Linked DNA regions of Mus musculus. The protein of the gene in region 1 purifies or fractionates together with the protein of each later gene. This does not show direct contact. Links are inferred from orthologs where the notes say so. Each region holds a gene or a part of one and is shown on either strand. Other genes may lie near its edges. The genes, in order: Ewsr1 and Ddx17.

Region 1 (3,808 bases):
CCTCCCAAGTGCTGGGATTAAAGGCATGCGCCACCACTGCCCAGCTTAGCGCTTCCTTGGATAAGATTTGTTTTCTGACTTGCCCATAGTTGACCACATACCTAGTTAATAGTCACACCTCAGCCTTGGATTCCCATAGCAGTGCTTGGGATCTAGCTAATAACTGTTCTCTAAATACCGACCGCAAAACTTCAGTTTTGGTCTTATAACTAACTTAAAAGTATGAGAAACAGAACTGTTTGGAGCCATTGGCACAGAACCATAGCAATTACTCCTCAAACACAGGCACCATGGGCAAAGTGAAGGGCAAGACCTCCCTACTACTGTTTGTAGTGCTGGGGAGGGAATCTGGGCTCTTGTTCATTGCTGGGAAAGGACTTTGCCTATGAAGTACTCCAGCTCAAGTTTCCTTGTCCTTCATTTTCTGTCTTAACCATTGTAGCTTCAATGTTCAATTTTAGTTTAGAAAGCTGCAAGTTTTCTGAGCTGTGTCTCATTTGAAGTAAGTTTCAAATGAATTGACAAAATTGTTTTAAAAGGTTAGTTTAATTGGCTATAATATAAAATAGTTTCTGTTTGCATCTGTTTTAGGGTTTCTAGTCCTGCACAAAACATCATAACTAAGAAGCAAGTAGGGGAGGAAAGGGTTTATTCGGCTTACACTTACTTTGCTGTTCATCACCAAGGAAGTCAGAACTGGAACTCACACAGCGCAGGAAACTGGAGGCCGGAGCTGATGCAGAGGCCATGGAGGGGTGCTGCTTACTGGATTGCTTCCCCTGGTTTGCTCAGCTTGCTTTCTTACAGAACCCACAATAGGCTGGGCCCTCCCCTCTTGATCACTAATTGAGAAAATGTCTTACAGCTGGGTCTCATGGAGGCATTTCCTCAATGGAGGCTTCTTTTGTTTTGTTAAGATTATTTTATTTATATGAGTGCACTCTGTCTTCAGACATACCAGAAGAGAGCATACAGGTTGTGGGCCATCATGTGGTTGCTAGGAATTAAATTCAGGACCTCTGGAAGAGGAGCCATCTCTCCAACCCCATAGACTGAATCTTGACAGGTGTGGAGAGGTGTGACAAATACTTAGTTTAGTAGAACATATTTATGGTTCATTGAGAGTCCCATTGTGTCCCTACTCCAGCCAGGGTTATTCTGTGTGGTCCTGACTGTCCTAAAACTCAATCTAGATATTTAGGACAGGCTGGCCCTGAACCCAGGGATCTGTCTGCCTCTTGGGAGACAAGAGTCCTGGGATTAAAGCCTTGCCTTGCCACTACACCCAGCTAAGAGTCTTTAAGGTTTATTTTTAGTAGTATGTGGAGGTACATAGATTACCTGCTGGGTAGTTTTACAGAGACCTAACATCTTTTATACAGTATCCTAAGGTCTCTTACCAGTCTCGTCTTTATTCCTAGATTTCCAAGGATCAAATATGTTTGTTTGAAAGGTTGAAACTATAGCAAAGCGATTTTGAGTCTGAAAGAAAATGTCATTTTTGGAGTGGCATACTTAATATGCTCATGTTTACACTCTATTACCAAGCAGGTATTCCTCAGAAAGTCATAGTCATAACTCAACCTATTAGACGGCTGAAATAGAACACTTGCCTAGTGTGTGAGGCTCTAAGTTGGAGCCTCAGAACTACAAAAAGAAAAGAAGGTGTTCTGGGAACTAAATACCTCACTTGACTCTTCTTCCTCCTCACTTTCCGTGTCTTTTCATTAGTCATCTCTTAAGTGCACATGTACATAGTCTGCCCTTCTGAACTGTATTTGTCTTAAATGTATTTGAAAAACGTTTTAAGTAGGAGCTCTGAACCACAACTCAATGTTCACATGGGTTCTTTTCATTTTCTCTTTTACATTTAAAGCTTTATTATTGGAAATAAATCCAAAAGTGTTGCCAGACAGTGTTGCACACCTGTAATCCAGCACACGGGAAACTGAGGCAGAAGAGTTGTGTGCAGGTGGACAGTCAGCCTGGGCTACATGTAGTGAGACCCTCTCAATGAAAGTAAAAAGAAAGTAATTGTTAGGATGCCTGTGAATGTCTCATATTCTTGGCAGAAATAACATGATTTTTCTCCTTCCTGAAGATTCTGTTTTTTTCTTTCAGCTACTCCTCTTCACAGCCGACTAGTTACGATCAGAGCAGTTACTCTCAGCAGAACACCTATGGGCAGCCGAGCAGCTATGGACAACAGAGTAGCTATGGTCAACAAAGCAGCTATGGGCAGCAGCCTCCTACTAGTTACCCCCCTCAGACTGGATCCTACAGCCAGGCTCCAAGTCAATATAGCCAACAGAGCAGCAGCTACGGGCAGCAGAGTGAGTTGCTAAGAGAGAAAACTAAGTATGAGTGATTTTGCTTGGAGTTTGTGAGACTGGGGAATGCTTGTTACCACTGTTTGCTTCTGGAGTCTAGAGTGTGAGTGTGCACTATAACATCCTATCCTGCATGATAGTCTGAATGCCCAAGTAGGGGCTCTGTCAGCAGGGTGGGCGCTCTGCAGTGAGTAGGGCTGGCATTCTTTAAGACCTGCCTTAATTAAACATTAAGAGAAAGTGATAGCTATAGAGGGCTACTGTGGATTTTGATAACCAAGTAAAAACTGTGTTTTGATTTTGTGTAACTGAGTGAGCAAAGGGAGTCCTGCTCACAGAGCACTAGCGAGCACACCCCCAACCCCCAGTGCTTATCCTTACATTTGGAAAAGTGACTAAAAACCCAAAAGTATCTCAGTCACTATTTAATTTCTGCCTCAATTGTTGCACTTTTAAATTTGAATTTCATCAGCCAGGCATGATGGCGCAGCATTTGCAGTGAGGTTCCGACTCTTAAGGCTCTTAAGGGTGTGTGTGTGTGTGTGTGTGTGTGTGTGTGTGTGTGTGTGTGTTGTTTTATTTGTTGCTGGGATGACTAGTTACAATTCCGCCCTTTGTACGCCAGAGCCCTAGGTAACTTGGCACTCACTGCTTTTGGTGTTGAGAGTGCAAAGAAGCTGCTTTTGGAGACATCTGAAGCACAGAAACTTACAAATATATTTTCCCAGAAGAAAAATCCTTTGGAAGTAGTTTTATAGCCTGGCCATACAAGGCCTTGATAAGCCAACAGTTCTTACAGAGAGAGAGCCTGTGATAGAAATACTTTGAGCATAGTGCTTATGTTGAAAGCTCCATGAGTCCAGGAGAAAGGGTGTCAGGCATTGGTGTGAATGCTGGTCCGTGGCTTACAGATGTGACTCTTTCCTCAGGTTCATTCCGACAGGACCACCCCAGTAGCATGGGTGTTTATGGGCAGGAGTCTGGAGGATTTTCCGGACCAGGAGAGAACCGGAGCTTGAGTGGCCCTGATAACCGGGGCAGGGGAAGAGGGGGATTTGATCGTGGAGGCATGAGCAGAGGTGGGCGGGGAGGAGGACGCGGTGGACTGGGGTAAGAGCAAAACCTTTTCTCCTTTTATCTAATTTTGTTTCATCCATAGGATTTTCAATGGAAAGAAGGGACTGAAAGACATAAGAAATTTATCCCACATTTCCATGGACAATCTATTGCGGTCAAGCTATCTCCTAAAACATGGAAATGTCATTTAAGTGGCAGTTTGCTTTTTTCCCTGCCAGTAACCATTGTTGGGCTGGGGTGAACAAAGAATGGCTTTGAAACTAGAGCTTTCAGTCCCCTTCATGGTTTTCAGAGGTGAGAGCCTCTTTGGGTAATAGATTTGGGATGGAACACACACAACCCTTCTAATAACCCTAGCTTTTAACTAATGTCCTGAACGGTTGTCTTGAAATACCTGGTGT
Region 2 (4,530 bases), on another chromosome or scaffold:
TGTGACAGGAAAGGAACAGCATTCCTCCCACCTCAGTTTCCCACCTATTTTAGCTCTCTGACAAAGTTAGTGATACCGACTTTATACTAAGTATAGTTTTAATTGGCACTAGAGATTCTGGATACAATAAAAACTAACGGTCTCTGCTCTTGCAGAGAAGTGGTACTCTTTTAAACTGCAAGACCAAGACTGTGGACATCGAAAAAAATGTACTTCAAGCAAGTCCTTCAAATTTACAACAGCTTCTTAGCCAATTTCCCCACTTATGCTGGGGGCAAAAACTTCTCTGCTACTCTATAAAGCAAACTATTGGGACATCAGGGTCTAGTGTGTTTAGTTTACTCTAAAGAAAGAGCCAGAATAAAAGAGTTGTAATCCTTTCCTCTCCAGCCTTCTTTATGAAATCCTCCTGCCTCAGCCTCCTAAACACTGGGATTATAAATGTGAGTCACCACACCAGGGTCAAATAATACTATTTAGTTACAGGGAGAAAACAAAACAAAAACCCCATCAATGTAGGTTATGGGTATTTGTTTTGTTTTTTAAATAAGATTCAAAGCTAGACATGGTATTGAATAACGTGTAGTCCTAGCACGTGAAAGCTGTGGGCAAGGTCAGAGTTCAAGGGCAGTCTGGTCTATGAGACTTGTGTCAAAACAAACCCCCCTCAGATTTAAATAAGCCTTGTCTTTTAGATACAACAAACAGGTAAGCTAAACAATATAGATATGGCCACTTGCCAAACCTAAGATACAAGAAATTAGAAACTACAATCCTAATATACCCTCTTTGTCTTAATCTATGAGAGTACAGGGCTGTAAAAAAAAAAAAAATCTCATTTCCTTTTTTCTTTTGTTTTTCGAGACAGGGTTTCTTTTATATAGCCTTGGCTGTGCTGGAGGCCTCTCTTTCTGTTTCCAGAGTGCTGGGATTAAAGGCATGAGCCACCATGCTCTGCAAGATCTCATTTCCTTATTTCCTGTAAACCACTAGAAAATTGGAGAAATTTCAAGTTATTTTAAAGAATTTCATTTCAAGACCTGCCAATATTGGGAGAGGTAGCAGGAACCCCACAAGGTAATCCCCTCTTCTGTTAGAACCTGGTGTGGTGGCCTACACCCGTGTTTCTGAACTTGGGGACACTGAGGACACATTCCAGGACAACCGTTAGACTAAGCTTCATGGCCCTGAGACAAACCCACCCTGCAGTGATCATGGCCAGAAATTTTACTGGAATTCTTTGGGTATCTACATTCAGTAGGCAGAATTTGGGTGACTTATTAATACCACTGCTAAACCAGCACAACTAGAAAGAAAAACATTCAACTGAGTAGACCCACCAAGACCTTTAAAAGGCCTCTGGCTTTTCAGTGCAATACTACAGTGAGCCAGGCCTTCTCATTTGACTACTTTACTCCACTTGCAAATGAAGCAACTGATACAAGTCTAAAACACTTCTAGAAATAACCAGTTTTCTTTTGTTTTCAATCTGTAATAATGGCCAAAACCCAATCTTTAGGAGATTTTAAGGCTAAGTCTAATAAGGATAATAATGTGGCTCCTATGTGTTATTTCCACTGGGCTTGCTTATAATCCCAAACTGCTTGGATCTTGAATAATGACCTAGGACAGAATAAAGCTTCTACAATTACGATTCCTTTACAAGGCTTATTCTGATTTTTTTTTCTTTCTACCACTGCCCTCACTTTGAACTCTGCTAACTGTTCTCTTGTTCTGATCTGTGTAGCCCAGGCTAGCTTTGAACTCCAAGCCTGACTCAGTCTCTAGTGCAGGGTGTGCCACCTCAAGGAGTTCTCTTGATTTCAACAGGCTTTGTTAGTTTCAAAAAAAAAAAAAAAAAGTCACCCGCAATTTGGATCTTTTGGAAAGCAACTCCAGCACTTCCCATTCCAATCTGATTCCACTTAACCAAAAATATAACAGAAAGGGAGTAAAACCTAGTTTAAAACCAAAAAAAGGCCTTTTCGACTCCAGTCCCTCTCTAACAGGGATGGCTAACATAGCGGAAAAGAAACGATCTCAAGCAGCTTTTCCTAGATTAAAACTTGAGCATCCGGATCCTCCCCCAGACAGACACTGCGGCCGGCCTGCAGGGATCAAATGATCAGCGAGCGGGCCAAGAGAGGCGACAAGGCTGGCCTGCCACTTCCGAGCCAGGATCGCGGTCCGCAGAGACGTCCGCCCAAGCCTGAGGCCTGCGCGCCGCCGCCATTGTACGGCGCGAGCCTCAGGGCTCTGCGGGCCACCCCGCCCCCCGCCCGCACCTCCCCCTTACCCTCCACGGTCCCTGTCACGATCCCGATCCCCAAAGCCGCCTCCACGCATGGTCCCAAACGGATAAAGATCTGGGAGCGGGGCACGGATGACCGAGCTCGGGAGGGCCTGCGGCTCGGGTCTAGTGATGACCGATGGCGGCGGCGGCGCCTCCGCTGTTGGGGCGGCGGCAGGCGCGGCGCTGTCTCGCTCCGACGCGCTGTCTCCCGTCGCAGACGCCACCGTCGCCGCCTCTCTCGTCGGAGACGGGAGCACAACTCAGAGAATCGGGGTTGTTAGGACAGTCGGGAGGTCTGGTCCCGCTCAAACCGGGCGGTGCCACGGTTGAGGCGTCTCCCTTCCTTCCCAGCAACTGCACAAAATGGCGGCGGCCGCGGAGACCGCTCCAACTTAACGCTACGCACGGCCCAGACGCTACGTAAACAGCGTCTGGAGGGCTCCGCGCGACGCCACGGACATTCTCGGAACCGCTTTACGTCGGTGACGGAGATGGGGGCCCTGGTCGGCCCACCTTAAACAAGGCAATGTGCGCAACCGGCGTAGGGTTCTCGCACCGCCAGCTCTAGAACGTTGGCTGGGGGTGGGGCGAGCCGTCGGCACGACGTCACAGTGTTGGCGTCGTTGGCCCGCCCACTATTGCGGGTCAGCGCAGTCTTCGTAGCGCATTCTGTTTCGAGAATGGACTTTTCCCGGCATTCCGAGCTCAACCCGGCGCTTGAGGCCGGCCTTGTGCAGACATAATGGTAGCACTCCACGTAGCCTTAGTCAGACTTCCGGGTCTCTGGGCAGTAGAACCCAGAGAGTCTTGAGGCCGCTTTCTTGGTTCCAACGTCCCAACGCCGTGTGCCCCAAGCTGGCCACACAGCCCGGCGCCATTTCTTTCCCGTCGCTTTTCGCCGCGCTGGCGCCGCAGCCATGTTGGATGCGTCGTGTCGCTCTCTTTCAGCGGCCAACAGCCTGGCTGGGCCAAAAGACACCCTGTGTTTCCCGCGTTTCTTACTGAGGTGCTATTTTCCGAACAAAGGGTTGGCACCTTTTCCTCTGGCCGTAGTTGACGCAGAGGCCACACCTTCCCAGAGTCCTTTCTGAGGTGGGCGCCTTGGACCTTAGCCACCATGAAAATGGGTGCCTTACCCGGGTGCCCCACTGCAGAAGCGGTGGGTTTGACAGGCTAGGATTTGCAAACCCTATCCGGGGAGGGCAGGCTGGGCTAGGCCGCCGGTGCCACCCAACTCCTAGATTGCTTTCTTTGGCTCGCCATCCCTGCGCACTGCCAAGCCACACAAACTTGGACATAGTTGCTTTACTAAATTGTGGAACTGCTGGGTTCCTTGAGACCTCTAGGCTCATTTCTACCGCCGCGGAGAATGGAGGCCGGCAGACTGGAGGCTTAGTCTTGTCTCATGTCCTGAGTGTTGCTTAGGTTAGGAAAGCCAGGAGAGTAAAGAGGCGTCTTGAGAAACGGTTCATTTGTCACTTCGGCCATGGAGAGCCAGGCATTGTGCTAGTTGCTGGGACACTGGGGATCCAACACGTTCCTTGGCACAGAGCTTTATTCTCTAGAGACGGAGAGGAGACAGATGACAAATGTGTATGTTAGACTTTTGCTGACTTGGAAAAGAAAATGGTGTTGAGGCTGTGGAACAGTGCTTGCTGACCGTGACTGAAGCCCTGGATTCAACACCCAGCACCTCCAAGAACAACAGCAAAAAAACACTAAAGGGAAGGCCATACTTTAATTCCAGCACTCGTGGGTGAATCTCTTGAGTTAAACGCCAGCTTGGTCTACCAAGTGAGTTCCAGAATAGCCAGGGTGACACAAAGAAACCCTCTCTCAAAAACCAACCAACAAACACCAAAGAAACAAAAACAAGAAAGGGGCTAGAGACAAGTTGAGGAAACGGGATGACATCGGGTGCTCTCAGAAGGCATCCCCCATCTATCAAATGACATTTGAGCTGAGGTCTCAACTAAGGTCCTTGCTGCCAAGGGGGAAGATCAATTATGCAAAGCCTGAGTCCAAGAAGATGGAAGCTACTTAAAGAGCTTGGTTTCCTTGAAGGTGAAAATGTCTGGTTTAAAGTAGCGGCATAAAGAAGGACCCCTTTGACTGCAGTGCAGAGAATCAACTGAGAGGCAGCTAAGGCAGGAACAGTTAATCTAGTGAAGGCCCAGTGTACTGTCTCTTTTCTTTAGTCTCTCTGAGTTCTAGGCCAGTCTGGTCTACATAGTAAG

The links.
Region 2: the proteins of Ewsr1 (region 1) and Ddx17 purify together in Homo sapiens (affinity purification with mass spectrometry; 3 studies listed by BioGRID, with this or other methods). This does not show direct contact. The link is inferred for Mus musculus from reciprocal best matches to the Homo sapiens genes EWSR1 and DDX17.

Annotation. Positions count from the first base shown.
Region 1 is NC_000077.6:5,081,885-5,085,692, reverse strand, and holds part of Ewsr1 (RNA-binding protein EWS), read left to right. Parts: intron 1-2,121; coding exon 2,122-2,333; intron 2,334-3,259; coding exon 3,260-3,440; coding exon of another isoform or gene 3,441-3,444; exon of another isoform or gene 3,445-3,808. UniProt on the Homo sapiens protein: Binds to ssRNA containing the consensus sequence 5'-AGGUAA-3'. Might normally function as a transcriptional repressor. EWS-fusion-proteins (EFPS) may play a role in the tumorigenic process.
Region 2 is NC_000081.6:79,543,899-79,548,428, forward strand, and holds the start of Ddx17 (probable ATP-dependent RNA helicase DDX17), read right to left. Parts: upstream 2,844-4,530; 5' UTR 2,347-2,843; coding exon 2,297-2,346; intron 1-2,296. UniProt on the Homo sapiens protein: As an RNA helicase, unwinds RNA and alters RNA structures through ATP binding and hydrolysis.